Linked DNA regions of Mus musculus. The protein of the gene in region 1 binds, or shares a complex with, the protein of each later gene. Links are inferred from orthologs where the notes say so. Each region holds a gene or a part of one and is shown in the gene's direction. Other genes may lie near its edges.

The links.
Region 2: the proteins of Tapbpl (region 1) and Mr1 are in contact, whole or in part, in an NMR structure (PDB 7RNO), measured with the Homo sapiens proteins. The link is inferred for Mus musculus from reciprocal best matches to the Homo sapiens genes TAPBPL and MR1. Residues at the interface, in NP_060479.3 of Homo sapiens: His47, Arg48, Gly49, Ala50, Ala52, Ser53, Ser54, Leu129, Met131, Thr132, Glu133, Thr135, Arg228, Gln230, Lys232, Gly233, Arg234, Gly235, Thr280, Ile282, Gln293, Ile295, Gln297, Arg307, Leu308, Ser309, Ile320, Cys321, Asp322, Leu355; in NP_001372090.1 of Homo sapiens: Arg101, Arg104, His105, Asn107, Thr129, Gly130, Phe131, Leu132, Gln133, Ile143, Phe144, Asn145, Asp147, Thr148, Leu152, Ala153, Val154, His159, Thr160, Lys162, Gln163, Ala164, Ala167, Asn168, Gln169, His170, Thr213, Phe214, Pro215, Asp248.

The regions. Positions count from the first base shown.
Region 1 is NC_000072.6:125,223,600-125,226,492, reverse strand, and holds the end of Tapbpl (tapasin-related protein precursor), read left to right. Parts: coding exon 1-2; intron 3-1,542; coding exon 1,543-1,629; intron 1,630-1,783; coding exon 1,784-1,827; 3' UTR 1,828-2,288; downstream 2,289-2,893. UniProt on the Homo sapiens protein: Component of the antigen processing and presentation pathway, which binds to MHC class I coupled with beta2-microglobulin/B2M. Association between TAPBPR and MHC class I occurs in the absence of a functional peptide-loading complex (PLC).
Region 2 is NC_000067.6:155,143,942-155,148,487, reverse strand, and holds the start of Mr1 (major histocompatibility complex class I-related gene protein isoform 1 precursor), read left to right. Parts: upstream 1-1,673; 5' UTR 1,674-1,801; coding exon 1,802-1,856; intron 1,857-4,546. UniProt on the Homo sapiens protein: Antigen-presenting molecule specialized in displaying microbial pyrimidine-based metabolites to alpha-beta T cell receptors (TCR) on innate-type mucosal-associated invariant T (MAIT) cells.

The DNA.
Region 1 (2,893 bases):
AGGTACTGGGGGTGTCCTCTCTCCTCCCCTGTCTGTATTCAGGCTGGGACTCCCCTGCTTACAGGTCATCTTTGGCTGTGTGCTATTCTCATGCGTTTCCTCAGTTCCACCTTCTGCACACTCTTTATCTTATCTTTATCTTTCCCAGAGTGGCATCCTCTACCACTATGAATCCCCAGCCTCCAAATAATGAGATGAGTAAGCTTGGGCTGGGTATCAGAGGTAAAGGAGTGCTGCTCCTTCCCATAGGAGCTAGAGAGACAAATTGAGGCAGACAGGGAAAAAGACCCAAAACAGACCTTTGAGCCCAGCCCAAGTTCAGCAGGAAGCCCTTAAGACTGGAAGCACAGTCCATATGAAAACCAAACGACACAAGAGTCTACAGAAAACCTAGGGGCCTGAGGGTGTGTGCAAAAAAGGGCACGAGGCAATGATACTTAAGACGATTACATCTGCACACCCATATGACCAAGCATTGGAAAGTCAGCTTCTACACTAACTTTAATATTTTATGTGTTTGCGTGGTTTGCCTGCTGTAGTGCACCATGGGCAAGCAATGCCCATGGAGACCTGAAGAGGGCATCAGATCCCCTAGCACTGGAGGTACAGATGCTTGTCAGCCACTATGTGGCTGCTAAGACTGGAACCCAGGTCCTTTGCAAGAGCAACAAGAACTCTTGACTTCTTAGCCAACTCTCCACCCCCAATATACTCAAGAGCTTCTGAGGGTGATCTCACATATTACACCTCCCATTTATTTTTGGAAACCGGTCTTCCTGAGCAGGCTGGCCTCAAACTCCTCTGCCAAGCAGCCCTCCTACTCAGCCTCCCAAATAGCTGGGACTACAGACACCATCGCCATGTCCAGAATTCATCTTACAGATGAGTAAGCTGGCATTTGCAGACACTGAGCAGTTTGCCCCAGGTTCTCTACCAATATACAATAAAGGAGACACTATAACCAAAAGGCAAGCTGCAAGCCCTTACGTGTTTACACCCTATATCTACACACACTTCATCCCAAAGGCCACAGAATGCTGCAGTTTCAGGCAGGAAAGGATGTGCACCTCACAATGAAATATCCAAGAGCTCCAGACCTATTTGGTTGCTCGCTAGACTATGAGCTTCCCCAAAGCTTGCCTTTTGTTTTGGCTCACATCATTCCCCAGCTATTTGCTGGTAGTCACTGAGATAGCCTCATTCTCTTCTGTAAAACATTTTCAAATGTCCTGAGATAGAATAGGGTCTAGTGGGGTGTGCCTATAAACACAGCACTAGAAGGCTGTGGCAGGACTCCTAAGTTCAAAGCCAGCTTGGACATCATGAGGCCCTGTCTCAGAATAACAAAGCCCCGATGGAGTAAGAGGCAGAACAGCAACACACAAACTTGAGAGTCTTGAACAAGTGCAGTGCTGCTGCGTGGGCAGGCTCCCGTCCTTCCGTGAGGATTCACAGCACCCAGGCCAGAGCTCCCCTCCTAAGGGGAGGGGTACTGGAGGGTGAGGGCTCAGCATGTGGTCTTGTGTTCATTCTCACCCACAGAGCAGAGAGGAACCTTGGGAGTCATCTTTGCCAGCATCATCTTCCTTTCTGCGCTGTTGTTGTTTCTGGGACTTCACAGACAGCAAGGTGAGTTTGTAGATCAACCTACTCTCAGGTATCTGCCCACCCAAACCAGGGATGAAGTCCAGTGTGCTGAGTTCCAGATGTTTCTACCATACCCCCAACATCTGCTTTTGGAATTATCCCTATTGAAAACAATCTTGTTCCGTTTTTCTCTCAGCTTCTTCATCAAGGTCCACCAGGCCTATGAGGCATTCTGGGTAGCCGCCTGCCTGCCTCCGAATACAAAGTAAAGTACTCCACATCCTGGCTACTTAAAGGACCCCGTGTGAGGTGTGGGGCTGAGCTGGGCCTGAAGGTGCCAGCACATTGGGAGTGCAGTACTGGCCCTGGACTGTACAAGTCTCTGCTTTCTGTGCTATTGAGAAGAGAGCCCTGGGCTGATGAAAAGGGACAGGACAAGAGGATGGCAGAATTATCAAAGTGGAAGCTAACACCATCTATGTGAGGTATTAAGAAATCGGGGGTGGGGGCTGGTGAGATGGCTCAGTGGGTAAGAGCACCCGACTGCTCTTCCGAAGATCTGGAGTTCAAATCCCAGCAACCACATGGTGGCTCACAACCATCTGTAACGAGATCTGACTCCCTCTTCTGGAGTGTCTGAAGACAGCTACAGTGTACTTACATATAATAAATAAATAAATCTAATAAAAAAGAAAAAAAAAGAAATCGGGGGTGGGGGGACACACAGGGGAGGGTTACCTAAAAAGGGCTTTCCTTCTCAAAGGAGAAAGGGAAGGAGGAATGGGGGTGGGTCTTCATGCAGAGGTACTAGAAGGAGAGAGGGAACTGATATTGGAATGTAAAATGAGTAAATGAAAAAAAAGTCAGATGTAAAAAAATTCTCTTAGAAAAAGGATCAAAGTGAGGGAAGCGGGAGAGGCTGTGACCACTCATGAATGCCAACACTGTCAAAATAAAAACATGCTGTGACTACAGCGCACTTTCTTCTCTCTCTCCCTGTTGGTTCCAAAACATTCCTAGCTGCTCCAACTCCCAACTCGTTGTTTCAAGGTACGAAGCAGAGGCCCTGGGCTACATCTGCACCGTTACATCATCAGATATTAGGGTTCTGACCCTTCAGACAGCTGCCAGGAGTTTTGGGAGAGTTATACAACACTCCCTCAGCTGCACGAGAGCTTCCTTGTGCTCACTGCTATGAAATACCTTATGGATACAGTGCATCCGAGCCTATAAAGACCATGAATTATGATGTCTGTTATCAAAAGTAAAGTGGGGGGCTAGAGAGATAGCAACCCGTGGATAGGAG
Region 2 (4,546 bases), on another chromosome or scaffold:
GCTTGCAATTAGATAAAGCGATTTTAAGCTACCCACACTTTTCATGTTTCCTTTTTAAGAGTACAGCATGAAATCTGGGGAACAAGCTATTAACAGGAAAAAAAAATCCAAAAACCCAAAGGAGCAAATACATTGGCACAGCGTGCAAGCATCATGGAGCAGCAACAGGGGTCTCTGTGAGGGGCACATGGATACCTATATTTGCTAGATGAATAGCCAAGGGAAAAAACAAAAGAGGAAGGAAAGGAAAAAAGAGATGCAAGCATCTGAAAAGAGGCCATCAAATAATTTCTTTTAGCTTTTTGTGGGGAAAGGAAGACATGCCTACGTTTTCCACTCTCATAGAAAGCAAAAATTAGGTGGCTGCAAACAATATATATTTTCTCTCCAATCATTTAGGAGGCCACAGTTCTGAAGACAGGTCTTATGGTGAAAAAACAAAACAAGACTAAACAAAACACCACCAACAACAAAAACAAAACAAACAAACAAACAAAAACCCAGCTTTTGACACATGCATTCTTTCTAGAGGTTCTGGGGTATGGTCTGTAACCTTCTCATTCCAGGTCCAGGGGCCTCCTGCACTCCTTAGCTCATGCCCTCTTCAGTAATGCATCTGCTGTCACAGACCCTTCCCAGATTCTGACCCTCTGCCTTCCTGAAATAGGGACCCTCGTGATTAGATTGGTTCTGCCAGGTCCAGGATCATCTCTCCATCTCTGCGTCTTTAAATCAACGGGACCTGCAAAGTCCCTTATGCCATATAAAGTGTGTTGTATTCACGGGTTCTGAGCTTTTAGAGTGGGCCATCACTCAACTCACCTCTGAAGGAAACCAGGGGTTTGATTCTCCTATCCCCTCTTCCTGCGTAATAAACAACCTCACTGAGTCAACAGTCCTGTGGAATACACAGATTTCTTTTAAAGGGGAAGCTGTCCAGCCATGGTGCAGTCTGTGATTCTGCCCCATGTCAAAGAGATTTGACCATGTCAAATCAAGCATGGTGCCTGACCCCAAGCCAAAGCCTGCCTTTTCCCCATTCTTCTCTCTATCCTGTACTTCCTCTTTCCTGTCTAGACCTGTTCCCCAGCTCCCTGAACAGCCTCAGCTGCTGTTTCCTAACTTGTCATGTGCTTCTAACAACAATGTGACCATAGGTTGGAGATTGCTTTCCTTGAAAGATGAGTGGCGACCCCTCAGAGTCTCCCATAGGCCTTTTCTTTTCATGATTCAACAGGGATGTTTGGGGTCTATTGTTCTAGGTAAAAAAAAAAAATACAGGAAAGACAGATATAAATAAAAAAATTACAGGGCATTCTAAATGGTACATGCTATCTGAGACGGATGGGAAAATCATACTGAGCAGGGAGTTCCAAATCTTAGAACCCAGGGTGCAATTTCCTTTGTCCCTTGGTTAAAAATCTAAACTCCAAGAAAGAACCAAAGGCAATAAATTACCCATGTCATTAATTTTTGCTTCCCTATACCTTTCATGTAATTGAGCTACAGTTGGGAACTGGATGAAGAGAAGACAGGAGCAAGCTGAGTCTGAAACCCACAAGGGGTTAATGTTTATTGCTTTCATTTTTGTAAGTCTCTATTCTACCTAGCAACTAATGACACCAGATATATTTACCAGTTCTTACTGGAGAATGCTTCCCCCTGTCCCACCCCACAGTGCTCAGTTACCAAGTGTAAGTAAGTCGGTAGAGTACAAGTTCTCAAAAGATTCATCAGGGGTCTGTCACTGTCTGAGGTTAAAAAAAAAAATCGGAAAAGCAAAGGACTTCAGCACGGGTTGATGATGCTCCTGTTACCTCTGCTCGCTGTATTCTTGGTGAAGCGAAGCCATACTCGTAAGTATCCTGAGTGCTCTTTGCTTCCAAATGCAATGCTGAAGCATAACGACGGCTTTGCTTTCTAAACTTGTGGTGCAAACTATAAAAAAGCCAGAGACAAACCCACAGGTCCTTTGTACCCAAGACTTGAAGGGTGATGGACCAACTGGCCTGCTGTTCAGATGTGTGTGCATGGATGCCAGCCTGCCCAGAAAGACTGCCTCACTTTTCCTCTGAGAGCTATGTCCCCACTTTTCTGCTATACCCTTACTTTCCCTTCTGTTTCTCTTCTTTTCTTTTCTAACAATGAACCTGCGTGTAGGGAGAGTTTCAGGGGAGTTGAACCACCCAATCTGTCCATCGTTCAGGCCAATAGATAATTTTTCCTCCTCAGGACAAGGACATCCTGTAACAAAAGATGCATGAAAGATAAAGCCATGGCTCTGAGCTCGTTTACTAGGTGTAGGAAATATTCATGGATTTAAAACAAAGTTCTGGGGCTGGAGAGATGTCTCAGCGGTTAAGAGCAATGGCTGTTCTTCCAGAGTGCACCAGTTCAATTCCTGGAACCCACGGGGCAGCTCACAACTGTCTGTAATTCCAGTTCCAGGGGATCTGACATCTTCACATAGACATCCATGCAGGCAAAACACCAGAGTACGTAAAAATAAGTGAAAATTAGAATAAACATCGTAGTTTAGGGAGCTTGTGTCTCTAAGGGATCAAGAGCCCTGTGTTGCCACCAACACAGGAGAGTCCGTGTGACAGGAAGTGCTAGCCTTCTCTACCCTAAGCAACTGCTTTCCAGCTGGCTGTTAGTGCTTTTAAAGGTTCACAGGAGAATTGCAGAACTCCGATCAGGCCACCCAAGCTGCTGACTAATGTTCATGCCAGGAAGGAACTCTTTCAAATCGTGTCTGTGTTAGTTCTACAAGTATTGATTGATAGCTTGCTACGTGTCAGCTGATTGGAGGAATGTAACAACTGGATATGGATATGGTGATGCAAACTTACAGTCCTAGCTACTCTAAAGGCTTAGGGGGGAATGGTGAGTTTGAGGCCAGTTTGAGTGTCGAAAGAAAGAAAGAGATCGAGAAAGAGAGGAAGGGAAGGAGGGAGGGAGGGAAGGAGGGAGGGAGGGAGGAAGGGAGGAAGGAAGGAAGGAAGGAAGGAAGGAAGGAAGGAAGGAAGGAAGGAAGGAAGGAAGGAAGGAAGGAAGGAAGGAAGAGAGAACAATAAAGATCAGGTTAGATGTTTCTCTGGCTTACGGAGATTGCAGAACCCTCTGGCACAGTGATCACAAGTGAACACAGGTCTTCTGCCTTTAGCCCAGGCCTTTCTGTGATACTGCTGAACTTCCGAGTACCCCGTACATAGATAATTTGTGGGTAGTTATAGGATGGGGTGCTGCACTATGCTGGTTGTTTTCCTCTGACTCTTAGATGTGTTCCTGCTGTGTTGCTTTGTGTTCTAGAAGCCGAGGGCTACAGACTGCATCACCCAGTCCTAGCTTCTGTGTTGGTTCACTTGGTAGGAAATGCTAGGAAAAGAGAAGAGAACAAGGAGAAAAGAGAGATTGAAGTTTGCTTTTCTTGCCTCCTTCCTTCTTTCTAGAAGTCTCTGGCAGTAGCTATCTGTAGCTCTCTGCAGTGTAGGTTGTTTTTCCTTTTGTCTGAAAATCCCTCTTCTTTAGAGTTTTAGCTTCCGCTGGGCTTTAGCAATTCTTATTAGCTGCCCATTTCCCTGTAATCTTAGGGGTGAACATGGTTTATTATAGTTACTTCCTTATGGTCTCTCCATGGGACCTTTTTGGTAAGGGTTGTTTCCTCCCATGGTTCTCACTAAATGAACTTTGAGGAAAATGACAGGGAAGGGATTTCAGATTTATGGGAAATAACTAAAGGCCTACATGATGTTTGTCTCCAGTGTTACCCATAAATAGATACTTTTGCACCATAGGTGGATAGCAGACACGGGGAAGAGAAACCAGAGTGTTTGAGACGTAACTCCAGGAAATGTTAAGATAATTCTCACATTACGTCCAGCACGTCGCTCTCAGCAGCAGCATAGCCCACGGGTGATTGTGTCTGTTCCTTCCTTTGAGTTCCCACGTTTCCTCTTCATGGTTTCTCATTTCCCAAAATCTTCCCTTAGCTGCTCTTTTCACTGGTGGGAAGAGACAGCTCCATTTTCCTCTTGGTTTTGTGACCTTGTTCCCAACAGACACTTCAATGCTTCCTAAAAGACTTTATGTGTCAAAGTAATGTTCCTAAGACATTGAAGTCACCTGACTAGGAAGTATAGCAAGCTTGGACAACAATAATGAATTCAAATGTCAAACTCTGATCTACTGTAGTTGCAGAACTGATGTAAAAATTGGTGCTTTGTGCTCCTTGCTCTTCATTTCAGCTGGTGTGAAGCTGAAGTGATGCTGCATGTCTCTGTAACATGGGACATCCTACATGAGATTTCCCTTGCATAGCTCTATATACTTTGTGTGTTTCATCTTGATATAGTTAAAGTTAGTCTCTTGATGTTATTCATAATTTAATAGATGAGTCAGCCCGCTACATCAATCTACTTTATGAATGATGCTTCAGAGATTAGGACTGATCATGGACAAACCAGTTGTGTTAGTGTTAGAAGATGTACTTGTAGATTATCTGCTTAGAAATAACCTTGAGCCAAGCCAGGGTGGTACAAGCCTT